Macaca fascicularis: one gene and its partners. The protein of the gene in region 1 binds, or shares a complex with, the protein of each later gene. Links are inferred from orthologs where the notes say so. Each region holds a gene or a part of one and is shown in the gene's direction. Other genes may lie near its edges.

Region 1 (3,648 bases):
CTCTATTTGTGTATATGTGTGTGTGTACATATACATATATATGCTGCAGATACATAAACTTTTACTGTATATCCCATAGTGTAGTACATTTTAGGGCACCCTTTACTAAATGACTATATCCTTGAATGCTTTGGCACATTAATACGTTCTCTCTACTACCATTCCTGTATCAGCTGTGGTTCCTCTGAGATAAAAAGGTTGTAGTCAGAACGTGGTCTTCTTATTAATATTTATCACAAACTGTCTAACAGAAGACATAGAACTAATATTAGCTCTGAAAACATTGGTAAGAGCTTGGAGATAGTAAAACTTGTTTGTTCAATGTATGAAAACTTAGGAACCCTATTGCTTTGTCATTAGATCTTCTGAAGTTTGTACTTAGTTTTACCTGTTAACAGTATTTTTGCAGGAGTAAGGAGACTATTAAAACAAGGTAAAAGTATAAGAATTTTGATAGATGGGTGATTGATTATATACGAAACTTTAATGTGTTCAACTTAAGGAGACAAATGCTTTGCAAGTATCTTCTACCAAAAAGCATTTCTAATGTTAATTACTGCTCCTTCTTATTGCAAGTTTTCTTATTTTTATTTATTTATTTATTTATTTATTTATTTATTTTTTTGAGACAGAGTCTTGCTCTGTCGCCCAGGCTGGGGTGCAGTGGCCGGATCTCAGCTCACTGCAAGCTCCGCCTCCCGGGTTTAGACCATTCTCCTGCCTCAGCCTCCCGAGTAGCTGGGACTACAGGCGCCCGCCACCTCGCCCGGCTAGTTTTTTGTATTTTTTAGTAGAGACGGGGTTTCACCGTGTTAGCCAGGATGGTCTCGATCTCCTGACCTCGTGATCCGCCCGTCTCGGCCTCCCAAAGTGCTGGGATTACAGGCTTGAGCCACCGCGCCCGGCCCTATTTTTATTTATTTTAAGACAGAGTCTTGCTCTGTTGCCCATGCTGGAGTGCAGTGGTGCAATCCCGGCTCACTGCAACCTCTGCCTCCCAGGCTCAAGCAATTCTTCTGCCTCAGCCTCCTGCAATTCTTGTGCCTCAGCCTCCCGAGTAACTGGAATTACAGGCATGCCCCACCAGGCCCGGCTAATTTTTTGTATTTTTAGTAGAGGTGAGGTTTCACCATGTTGACCAGGCTGGTCTCGAACTCCTGGCCTCAAATTTTTTGATCTGCCTGCCTCAACCTCCCAAAGTGCTAGGATTACAGGTGTGAGCTACCACGTCTGGCCTCTTATTTTGGGTTTTTTTTTTTTTTTTTTTTTTTTGAGACGGAGTCTGGAGTCTCGCTCTGTCACCCAGGCTGGAGTGCAGTGGCCGGATCTCAGCTCACTGCAAGCTCCGCCTCCCGGGTTCACGCCATTCTCCTGCCTCAGCCTCTCGAGTAGCTGGGACTATAGGCGCCCGCCACCTCGCCCGGCTAGTTTTTTGTATTTTTTAGTAGAGACGGGGTTTCACCGTGTTAGCCAGGATGGTCTCGATCTCCTGACCTCGTGATCCGCCCGTCTCAGCCTCCCAAAGTGCTGGGATTACAGGCGTGAGCCACCGCGCCCGGCCCTATTTTGGGTTTTAAGTAAGGTTAACCTTACTTCTGTGTATTTTGAAAGTATTGGTCATTTTCATTGGAGGAACTTTTTCTTTTTAATTTGGAGGCTTACCAAATAAATATTACCAAATAAATAAGTATGAAGTCAGTGATGATCTAAGAAATGTATTATATCGTTCAACACTAGTATGTATTTGGCTGTATCACAGATTCAAAATATTACTTTTAATGAATGGGCTTTACTGTTAAGTTATATCTGAATGATTACTATTTTGAGATCACATTGGATGTAAAATTTTAGATAAATATGCTTTTTTTAAATAGCCTGGATCTAAAAAATCAGCGAATGGATCAGATGATAAAACCAGCTGCAAGGAATCAAAGACAGGAAATCTGGACCCGTTGTCTTGCATAAGTAAGCTTCCATCATCTGTGCTCGTGATAAATTTGCAAACTTAATCTCAACAAAGCTCCCCACTCCCTTTGTTTTAACCACAGATTCACCTATTTTTAGTCATGTTAAAATGTATGTTTTTATTAAATATAGGCACTGCAGATCTTCATAAAATGTATCCTACACCACCATCATTGGAGCAACATATTATGGGATTTTCCCCAATGAATATGAATAATAAAGAATATGGTAGTATGGATACAACACCTGGAGGAACTGTTCTAGAAGGAAATAGTTCTAGTATAGGAGCACAGTTCAAAATTGAGGTTGATGAGGGATTCTGTAGTCCCAAACCTTCTGAAATTAAAGTAAGTATGTTTTTTCTAGAAAAATAATTCACTTCCTGTATTTTCTTATAGAATTAGTTTATTGCTATAGTCAAAAATTATTTCATAGTGGTTGCAGTTTTGTAGCTAAGTTGAAGACTGAATTGTTGTGTCACTATTAAGAATGCATTTAAGAAAATAATAGAATTGTATTTACATTTTATTCTGTTTAAAGAAGGGAAAAAAGGTCCAGAGCCTGTTTGAGATTTTTATTTATTTTCCCCCCCAGAAGATAAGATACTGAAAACCTACCATCTTTATATTGTAGGATTTTTCTTATGTCTATAAGCCTGAAAATTGTCAAATTCTAGTGGGATGTTCCATGTTTGCACCTCTAAAAACTCTACCAAGCCAATATCTGCCCCCTATCAAATTGCCAGAAGAGTGTATTTATCGTCAGAGTTGGACTGTTGGAAAATTGGAATTGCTTTCTTCAGGGTCTGCAATGCCATTCATCAAAGAGGGGTATGATTTATGTTGTTATAATAGTATATGAATTCTTATACAGCTTTAATTTTTTTTCATAGATTTACTTGGTATGCTGGAAAAAGAAAATTGGTTTTTGAAAATTCTAAAAATTATTTCTGGTTAATCAATTATAGTGATTGGCTGGGAGCAGTGGCTCACACCTGTAATTCCAACACTTTGGGAGGCCAAGGCAGGCATATCCCTTGAGGTCAGGAGTTTGAGATCAGCCTGGCCAACATGCAAAACCTCGTCTCTACTAAAAATACAAAAATTAGCCAAGCGTGGTAGTGTGACTGTAGTCCCAGCTACTTGAGAGGCTGAGGCACAGGAATGACTTGATCCTGGGAGGCACATGTTGCAGGGAGCCGAGATTGCACCAGTGCACTCCAGCCTGGGCAACAGAGTAAGACTTCGTCTCAAAAAAAAAAAAAAAAAAAGGTTAATTAGGTATGGTTAAACTATTAGGAAACATAAGACTATTATGCTGGATTTGTATTCAGAAGCACCTTTTCTTTTGGGCTGCAATTTTAAATTGCTTCCACTTTTACATTTGCCATATTTTCCACACGTGTCACATTTTAACATCTCTGACTTTGTCCATTTCAACTCAAGGCTGAAAGAAATCTGAATTTGAGATGTCTTATAAGTGGTAGCATCTTAAAATTACCATTTTTCCCTTTTTACACATGAGCATCTCTGAAATCATTTTTTTAATCATTTTTTTATTTTACAGTCAGTAGCATCTTAGAATCAAGGAAATATAAGTATTTCTAGTAAACATAATTTATAGATAGTAAATATGGATGTCTTGGTGCGCATTAGTGTATACAGTACTTATTAATGATATTTG
Region 2 (2,582 bases), about 15 Mb from region 1:
CAAGATCGGCCCCTGGCGCTGTGTGCTCGCCACACGTTAGTTTTTCTCTCTCATCTCCGTTGGGATCTCTCTGTATCCGAGGCCCCTCTGTGCCTTTTTTGTTGTTGTTTTTTGAGTTGGAGTCTCCCTCTCTTGCCCAGAGGGAGTGCAGTGACGTGATCTTGGCTCACTGCAACCTCCGCCTCCTGGGTTAAGCAGTTTTTCTGTCTGAGCCTCCTGAGTCGCTGGGACTACAGGCGCCTGCCACAACGCCCGGCTAATTTTTGTATTTTAGTAGAGATGGGCTTTCGCCATATTAGTCAGGCTGGTCTCAAACTCCTGAACTCAGGTGATCTACCCGCCTTGGCCTCCCAGAGTGCTAGGATTACAGGCATGAACCCCCGCGCTCAGCCTGTTTTTTTGAGACAGGGTTTTGCTCTGTTGCTCATGCTGGAGTGCAGTGGCACCATCTCGGCTCACTGCAGCCTTGTTCTCCTGGGCTCAAGCAGTCTGCCTCAGCCTCCCAAGGAGCTGGGACTACAGGCTTTGGCACCATGCCCAGCTAATTTTTGTATTTTTTGTAGAGATGGGGTCTCGCTAGTTGCCAAGGTTGGTCTTGAACTCCTGGGCTTAAGCAGTCCTCCTGCCTTGGCCTCCCAAAGTGCTGGAATTACAGGTGTGAGCCCCTGCACCCAGCCTCCCTCTGTGCTCTTGATCTCAGGGTCTTCTCTGGGCTTTCCATGTACCAGTTACCTCCGATGGGTGAAGGTCAGGTGGGGGTATCCCCAGGGAGCGCCGCTTTTGCACTCGGCAGGCTGTTCCCCAGCGCTCTGTCTGCTCTGTCCCACAGCAGACCGGTCCATGAGCAGCTCCCTCTCAGCCTCTCAGCTCCACACCGTCAACATGCGGGACCCTCTGAACCGAGTCCTGGGTAAGTTCCCCACCCGTGCTGCTGAACCTGGGGTTAAGCTGGACGAGTCCCTCTCCTCATGGAGGCTGGGCGACCTTGTCATCTGGAAGGGGCCTCATGGTGCCCCTCCCTTCTCCCTCCATGCTCCTCATTGCTGGCTGTCCTGGCTCCCAGGCTCCTGTCTAGTTCCCCCCCTCCCCTCCCCGGTTGCCTTTTATATTTTCTCTCTCTGACACCCCGTTTTGGGGACATGCTCAGCATGTATTTCTTTTCCCTTTTCAGTCCCGCCTTCTCCCAGAGTGTGACCTCACCCCCTCTCATGGAACTCCCTCCTGTCACTCTCCACAGCCAACCTCTTCCTGCTCATCTCCTCCATCCTGGGGTCGCGCACCGCTGGGCCCCACACCCAGTTCGTGCAGTGGTTCATGGAGGAGTGTGTGGACTGCCTGGAGCAGGGTGGCCGCGGCAGTGTCCTGCAGTTCATGCCCTTCACCACCGTGAGTACCACCTTCCTGGCTCTCCCGCTGGTGCTGGGGCCTCGGTGCAGCCCTTGGAGCAGGGAGGGGCCTCCTTCCCCTGGGACAGCACGCCCACCACCAGCCATCCAGCAAGCAGCATCTCTGTCTGTGGCAGGTGTCGGAACTGGTGAAGGTGTCAGCCATGTCCAGCCCCAAGGTGGTTCTGGCCATCACGGACCTCAGCCTGCCCCTGGGCCGCCAGGTGGCTGCTAAAGCCATTGCTGCACTCTGAGGAGCTTGGCATGGCCGCAGTGGGGGCTGGGGGCTGGGGACTGGCACAGCCCCAGGTGCCTCCAAGGGAAGCAGTGAGGAAAGATGAGGCATCGTGGCTCACATCCGCTCCACATGGTGCAAGAGCCTCTGGCAGCTTCTAATTCCCCGCTTCTGACTCCTGACCTCCAGGATGTCTCCTGGTTTCCTCTTTTGAAATTTCTTCTCTGTCTGCCAGCACCTGAGGAGTGTGAGCAGCCTGGACCACAAGCCCAGTGGTCACCCCTGTGTGCGCCCGCCCCAGCCCAGGGGTAATCTTACTTCTGAGGAACTTTCTAGACGCAGAGAGTGTGTGTGTGTGTGTGTGTGTGTGTGTGTGTGTGTGTGTATATATTTTGTAATATGTGAGGGAAATCTACCTTTGTTCATGTGTAAATAAAGCTCCTCGTGGATCCCTTTGCGACTGTGGGTGCTGTTGGTATCAGTGTCACCCGGGGCGGGGCACAGTGCTCTCTCCCTGGACTGCCTGTGCTGTGGCCGGGGAAAGCGCACTCCTGTGGTGAGGAGGAGGAGGAAGAGGTGCAGAGGTGGCAGGGCTTAGGGTCCTATGTGGACTTGCTCAGCTGAGGAAGGGCCAGGGGAAAGCAGCTTCCCTTCCTTGGAGCCAAGTTGGCCGGCCTGCTGCCCCTCCCGCAAAGCCAGCTGTACCCTGAAAGGGGAGAGGCTTTGGCTCAGGGCCCCACAGTGCTGGGGCAGGGTGGCCTGCTCTGCTTTCTCCCGAACCTGGCCCAACCCTACCCACACTCTGACTAGCCTGGGATTTGGTCTGTTGCCTCCAAAAAAGGACTGGGGGATGGGAGGCGGGGGGATGAGGGCCGGACCTTTCTTTAACCCTTCCTTGCCTGCCTCACACGTCTCCGAGCCTGGCAGTGGACACTTCTGACCCTGCTTTCCGAGGAGCCACG
Region 3 (4,353 bases), on another chromosome or scaffold:
TCCCACGTACACAGGAGGCTGAGGCAGGAGAATGGCGTGAACCCGGGAGGCGGAGCTTGCAGTGAGCCGAGATTGCGCCACTGCACTCCAGCCTGGGAGATAGAGCGATACAACGTCTCAAAAAAAAAAAAAAAAAAAAAAAAAAAAAAATTAAAAATTAGCTGGGAGTGGTGGTGCGCGGCTGTGGTCCCAGCTGCTCTACAGGCAGAAGAGTGGCTCCAGTGCGAGCACTAGAGGCTGCCGTGAGCCAAGATTGGGCCACTGCACTCCAACCTGCACAACAGAAAGAGACCCTGTCTCAAAAAATAAAAATTAAAATTAAAAAGATAATAGTAATGCAGTGTTTCTATTTTTCTATATTATTCATCAATAAGATTTGTGTAGCACATTTCTGTCAACAAACACGTTAGATTATTCCAGTTGGTAGTGTATTTTTCAACTTGGTTTATGCAGTCTTTTGGGAAAAATTAATAAAGACTACGTTTTCTGACTTTGCTGTAGTGCTAAGAAACTCCATGGCAGTCATTAAGATTTTTTTCCTTCAGATAGTTTTCGAGTTTCATTTGTCGCACTTACATTTTTAATCTACCTGGAATGTATTTATGTTCTAGGCCAGTTTCTGGCTCCTCTCCCGGAAAACAACGCTCAGGTGTTGCTAAGCAACCCACACTTGGGTTGGTGTTCGGCTTCTTTTCAGGGGAAAAACAACTGCCCTCCCTTCCAAGTTGAGGACGACCTTAAAGCGTTGCCTAGTAACCTCGTTTCCGCCGATGTGATTGGATCCTTCTCGCCTCCCTCCCCCAGTGCGCCCGCCCAAAAGAACAGAATCAGAAACTTAATCTAACGGTTAGAAAACAAGGGCAGAGGTCCCGGCGCTGTGGCTCAGGACTGTAATCTTAGCACTTTGGGAATCCAAGGCGGGCGAATCACTTGAGGTCAGGAGTTCGAGAACAGCCTGGCCCACATGGTGTAAACCCTTTCTCTGCTAAAAATACAAAAATTAGCGGAGCCTGGTGGCGGGCACCTGTAATCCCAGCTACTCGGAAGGCTGAGGCAGGAGAATCGCTTGAACCCGGGAGGCGGAGGTTGTAGTGAGCCGAGATCGCGCCACTGCACTTCAGCCTGGGCGACAGGGCGAGACTCCCGTTTCGAAAACAAAGGAAACAAAACACAAAAACGAAAACAAGAGCAGCGTACGCGTTGCATAGCAACCAGGTCTCCCGCCCCTCCCTTTGAGACAAGAGGCGGACCCAGACGCCCCGCTCAAAGATGGCGGCTGACTGAGCCGCTTTCAATTTATTTCGCTCTTGAGAATCCTGACAAGAATTCCGTCGAACCCATCAGGCCCCTAAAAGGGCTAACTATGCCCTTTCTGAGTTTTCCACGTGGTGGAGGCGAAGGAGGATGGAGCTAGAACGAAGCCTCAGCGCGTGCCCCGCACAAACATGGCCGCATTCCCAGCGTCCCTAAACCGCCCGGCGCGGGTGCGCGCGCAGCGCAGGCGCATTTCCGCTCATTCCGCGGTGTCGGCTGCGGCGGCTGTGGCGGTGGCGGCTACCGCACGGGGTATGGTCCCCGGGTCCGAGGGCCCGGCCCGCGCCGGGGGCCTGGTGGCCGACGTGGTGTTTGTGATTGAGGGTACGGCCAACCTGGGACCCTACTTCGAGGGACTCCGCAAGCACTACCTGCTGCCGGCCATCGAGTGAGTGCCGTTTCCGCGGCTCTAATCCCGCCCTCCCATTTCGGTTTCCACAGCTTCTTGCCTGACTCCGACCTTTCACCTCCGACCCTCACAGGTATTTTAATGGTGGTCCTCCTGCTGAGACGGACTTCGGGGGAGACGTGAGTCTTGGGACTCCTGGGTCTGAGGGAGGAGGGGCTGGGGGCCTGGACTCCTGGGTCTGAGGGAGGAGGAGGGGCCTGGACTACTGGGTCTGAGGGAGGAGGGGTTCGGGGTCTGGACTCCTGGGTCTGAGGGAGGAGGGGTTCGCGGTCTGGACTCCTGGGTCTGAGGGAGGAGGGGTTCGGGGTCTGGACTCCTGGGTCTGAGGGAGGAGGAGGGGCCCGGACTCCTGGGTCTGAGGGAGGAGGGACAGGGGTCTGGACTCCTGGGTCTGAGGGAGGAGGGGTTCGGGGTCTGGACTCCTGGGTCTGAGGGAGGAGGGGTTCGGGGTCTGGACTCCTGGGTCTGAGGGAGGAGGAGGGGCCTGGACTCCTGGGTCTGAGGGAGGAGGGACAGGGGTCTGGACTCCTGGGTCTGAGGGAGGAGGAGGGGCCTGGACTCCTGGGTCTGAGGGAGGAGGGACAGGGGTCTGGACTCCTGGGTCTGAGGGAGGAGGGACAGGGGTCTGGACTCCTGGGTCTGAGGGAGGAGGGGTTCGGGGTCTGGACTCCTGGGTCTGAGGGAGGAGGAGGGGCCTGGACTCCTGGGTCTGAGGGAGGAGGGACAGGGGTCTGGACTCCTGGGTCTGAGGGAGGAGGAGGGGCCTGGACTCCTGGGTCTGAGGGAGGAGGGACAGGGGTCTGGACTCCTGGGTCTGAGGGAGGAGGAGTTCGGGGTCTGGACTCCTGGGTCTGAGGGAGGAGGGGATGGGGCTGAGATTCCTGGGTCTGAGGAAGGAGGAAGTTGAGGAGTTCCTGGTTCTGGAGGAACAGGAAGCTGGGAGCCCTGATTCCTTCTCTGAGGGAAAAGAGAATTGAGATCCCAGATTAAAAGTTTTTCTGGGCCGGGCGTGGTGGCTCAAGCCTGTAATCCCAGCACTTTGGGAGGCCGAGACGGGCGGATCACGAGGTCGGGAGATCGAGACCATCCTGGCTAACACGGTGAAACCCCGTCTCTACTAAAAAATACAAAAAACTAGCCGGGCGAGTGGCGGGCGCCTGTAGTCCCAGCTACTCGGGAGGCTGAGGCAGGAGAATGGCGTAAACCCGGGAGGCGGAGCTTGCAGTGAGCTGAGATCCGGCCACTGCGCTCCAGCCTGGGCGGCAGAGCGAGACTCCGTCTCAAAAAAAAAAATAAAAAATAAAAAAAAAGTTTTTCTGTTCTCCCCTCCCAGTATGGAGGGACCCAGTACAGCCTCGTGGTGTTCAACACAGTGGACTGCGCTCCCGAGTCCTATGTACAATGTCACGCTCCCACCAGCAGCGCCTATGAGTTTGTCACCTGGCTCGATGGCATTAAGTGAGCTTTTCCCCCACTTAGGGTGGGTTGGGGTTCCTGTGAGGGGCCGTGAATGAGGGATGGCTTGGGTTTGAGCTGCAGGAAACATCTCATACATGAAGCGATTTAAAGGACTTTGAAGGTGATTGTGTTTTTGTCAGAAGTCACTTTTGTGGCTTCTGTGTGCTCAGCAATGTTGCCAACCAGTTTAGAAGTAGGAAAAACTTCCCATTCAGGGAGGCCTCGCTGAGCTCCAGCAGCCACCTTGTACTTCCTGTGTGATTGTCCCCTTTCTGTCCTCTCTTTTTCTATTTACCCCGTTCTCCTTTTCCAGATGGGTACATTGTAGTCTCAATGCAGGGGGATGGGTCAGAGCCAGGATAGATCCCTCTGTGGCTTGAATCAGACCTTTTTTTTTTTTCCTTTGAAACAGAGTCTTGCTCTGTCTCCCAGGCTGGAGTACAGTGGCAGAGTCTTGGCTCACTGCAACCTGCACCTCCCGGGTTCAAGCGATTCTGCCTCAGCCTCCTGAGTAGCTGGGATTACAGGCACACGCCACTACGCCCAGCTAATTTTTTTTTTTTTTTTTTTTTTTTTTAGTAGAGACGGGGTTTCGCTATGTTGACCAGGCTGGTCTCGAACTCCTGACCTCACGTGATCTGCCTGCCTCAGCTTCCCAAAGTGCTGGGATTACGGGGGTGAGCCACTGTTTCGGGATTGAGGAGGACGGGAGAGAGTCTTCCGCTTAAAGCAAGAGAATCTTTCATTGAGTGCACTCAGGCCCAAGCAGACTCACGTCCAAAGACGGCCTGGAACAAAGACAGCACTTGACTTTTATACACACTTCACAAAAGGGGGTGGGCTAGCTTGAAGCAAACTTACAGTGGCGTGAAAGCAGGGATACAGAGGCAGGACAAAGACAGTTAATCAAATTGTTGTAACAGGTTTATAACTCAGGATTACACATAACCGTTGCTATGCAACCCAGATGTCCGTTATCTAGGTTTGCCTAGACACGGGCTTATCCCATAACCTTCACTATGGTGCCCAGGCAGCTCAGGCTTCTCATGACCTTCACTGTACTTCTTAGATAAAAGAGAATACTTGAAGTCATTAGTTACAGAGAACAGAAATCTATAAACTCATTCCATAAAACAAAGGAAAATTTGTTTTTTCTTCTCCCTATGTTGAGG

The links.
Region 2: MED13 (region 1) and MED24 share a complex: the UniProt entries of both Homo sapiens proteins name them as parts of the mediator complex. The link is inferred for Macaca fascicularis from reciprocal best matches to the Homo sapiens genes MED13 and MED24.
Region 3: MED13 (region 1) and MED25 share a complex: the UniProt entries of both Homo sapiens proteins name them as parts of the mediator complex. The link is inferred for Macaca fascicularis from reciprocal best matches to the Homo sapiens genes MED13 and MED25.

Annotation. Positions count from the first base shown.
Region 1 is NC_088390.1:46,446,358-46,450,005, reverse strand, and holds part of MED13 (mediator of RNA polymerase II transcription subunit 13), read left to right. Parts: intron 1-1,874; coding exon 1,875-1,965; intron 1,966-2,097; coding exon 2,098-2,312; intron 2,313-2,598; coding exon 2,599-2,795; intron 2,796-3,648. UniProt on the Homo sapiens protein: Component of the Mediator complex, a coactivator involved in the regulated transcription of nearly all RNA polymerase II-dependent genes.
Region 2 is NC_088390.1:61,081,170-61,083,751, reverse strand, and holds the end of MED24 (mediator of RNA polymerase II transcription subunit 24), read left to right. Parts: intron 1-829; coding exon 830-910; intron 911-1,171; exon of another isoform or gene 1,172-1,237; coding exon 1,238-1,386; intron 1,387-1,522; coding exon 1,523-1,639; 3' UTR 1,640-2,077; downstream 2,078-2,582. UniProt on the Homo sapiens protein: Component of the Mediator complex, a coactivator involved in the regulated transcription of nearly all RNA polymerase II-dependent genes.
Region 3 is NC_088393.1:57,802,529-57,806,881, forward strand, and holds the start of MED25 (mediator of RNA polymerase II transcription subunit 25), read left to right. Parts: upstream 1-1,515; 5' UTR 1,516-1,568; coding exon 1,569-1,702; intron 1,703-1,796; coding exon 1,797-1,842; intron 1,843-3,056; coding exon 3,057-3,181; coding exon of another isoform or gene 3,182-3,203; intron 3,204-3,760; exon of another isoform or gene 3,761-3,858; intron 3,859-4,353. UniProt on the Homo sapiens protein: Component of the Mediator complex, a coactivator involved in the regulated transcription of nearly all RNA polymerase II-dependent genes.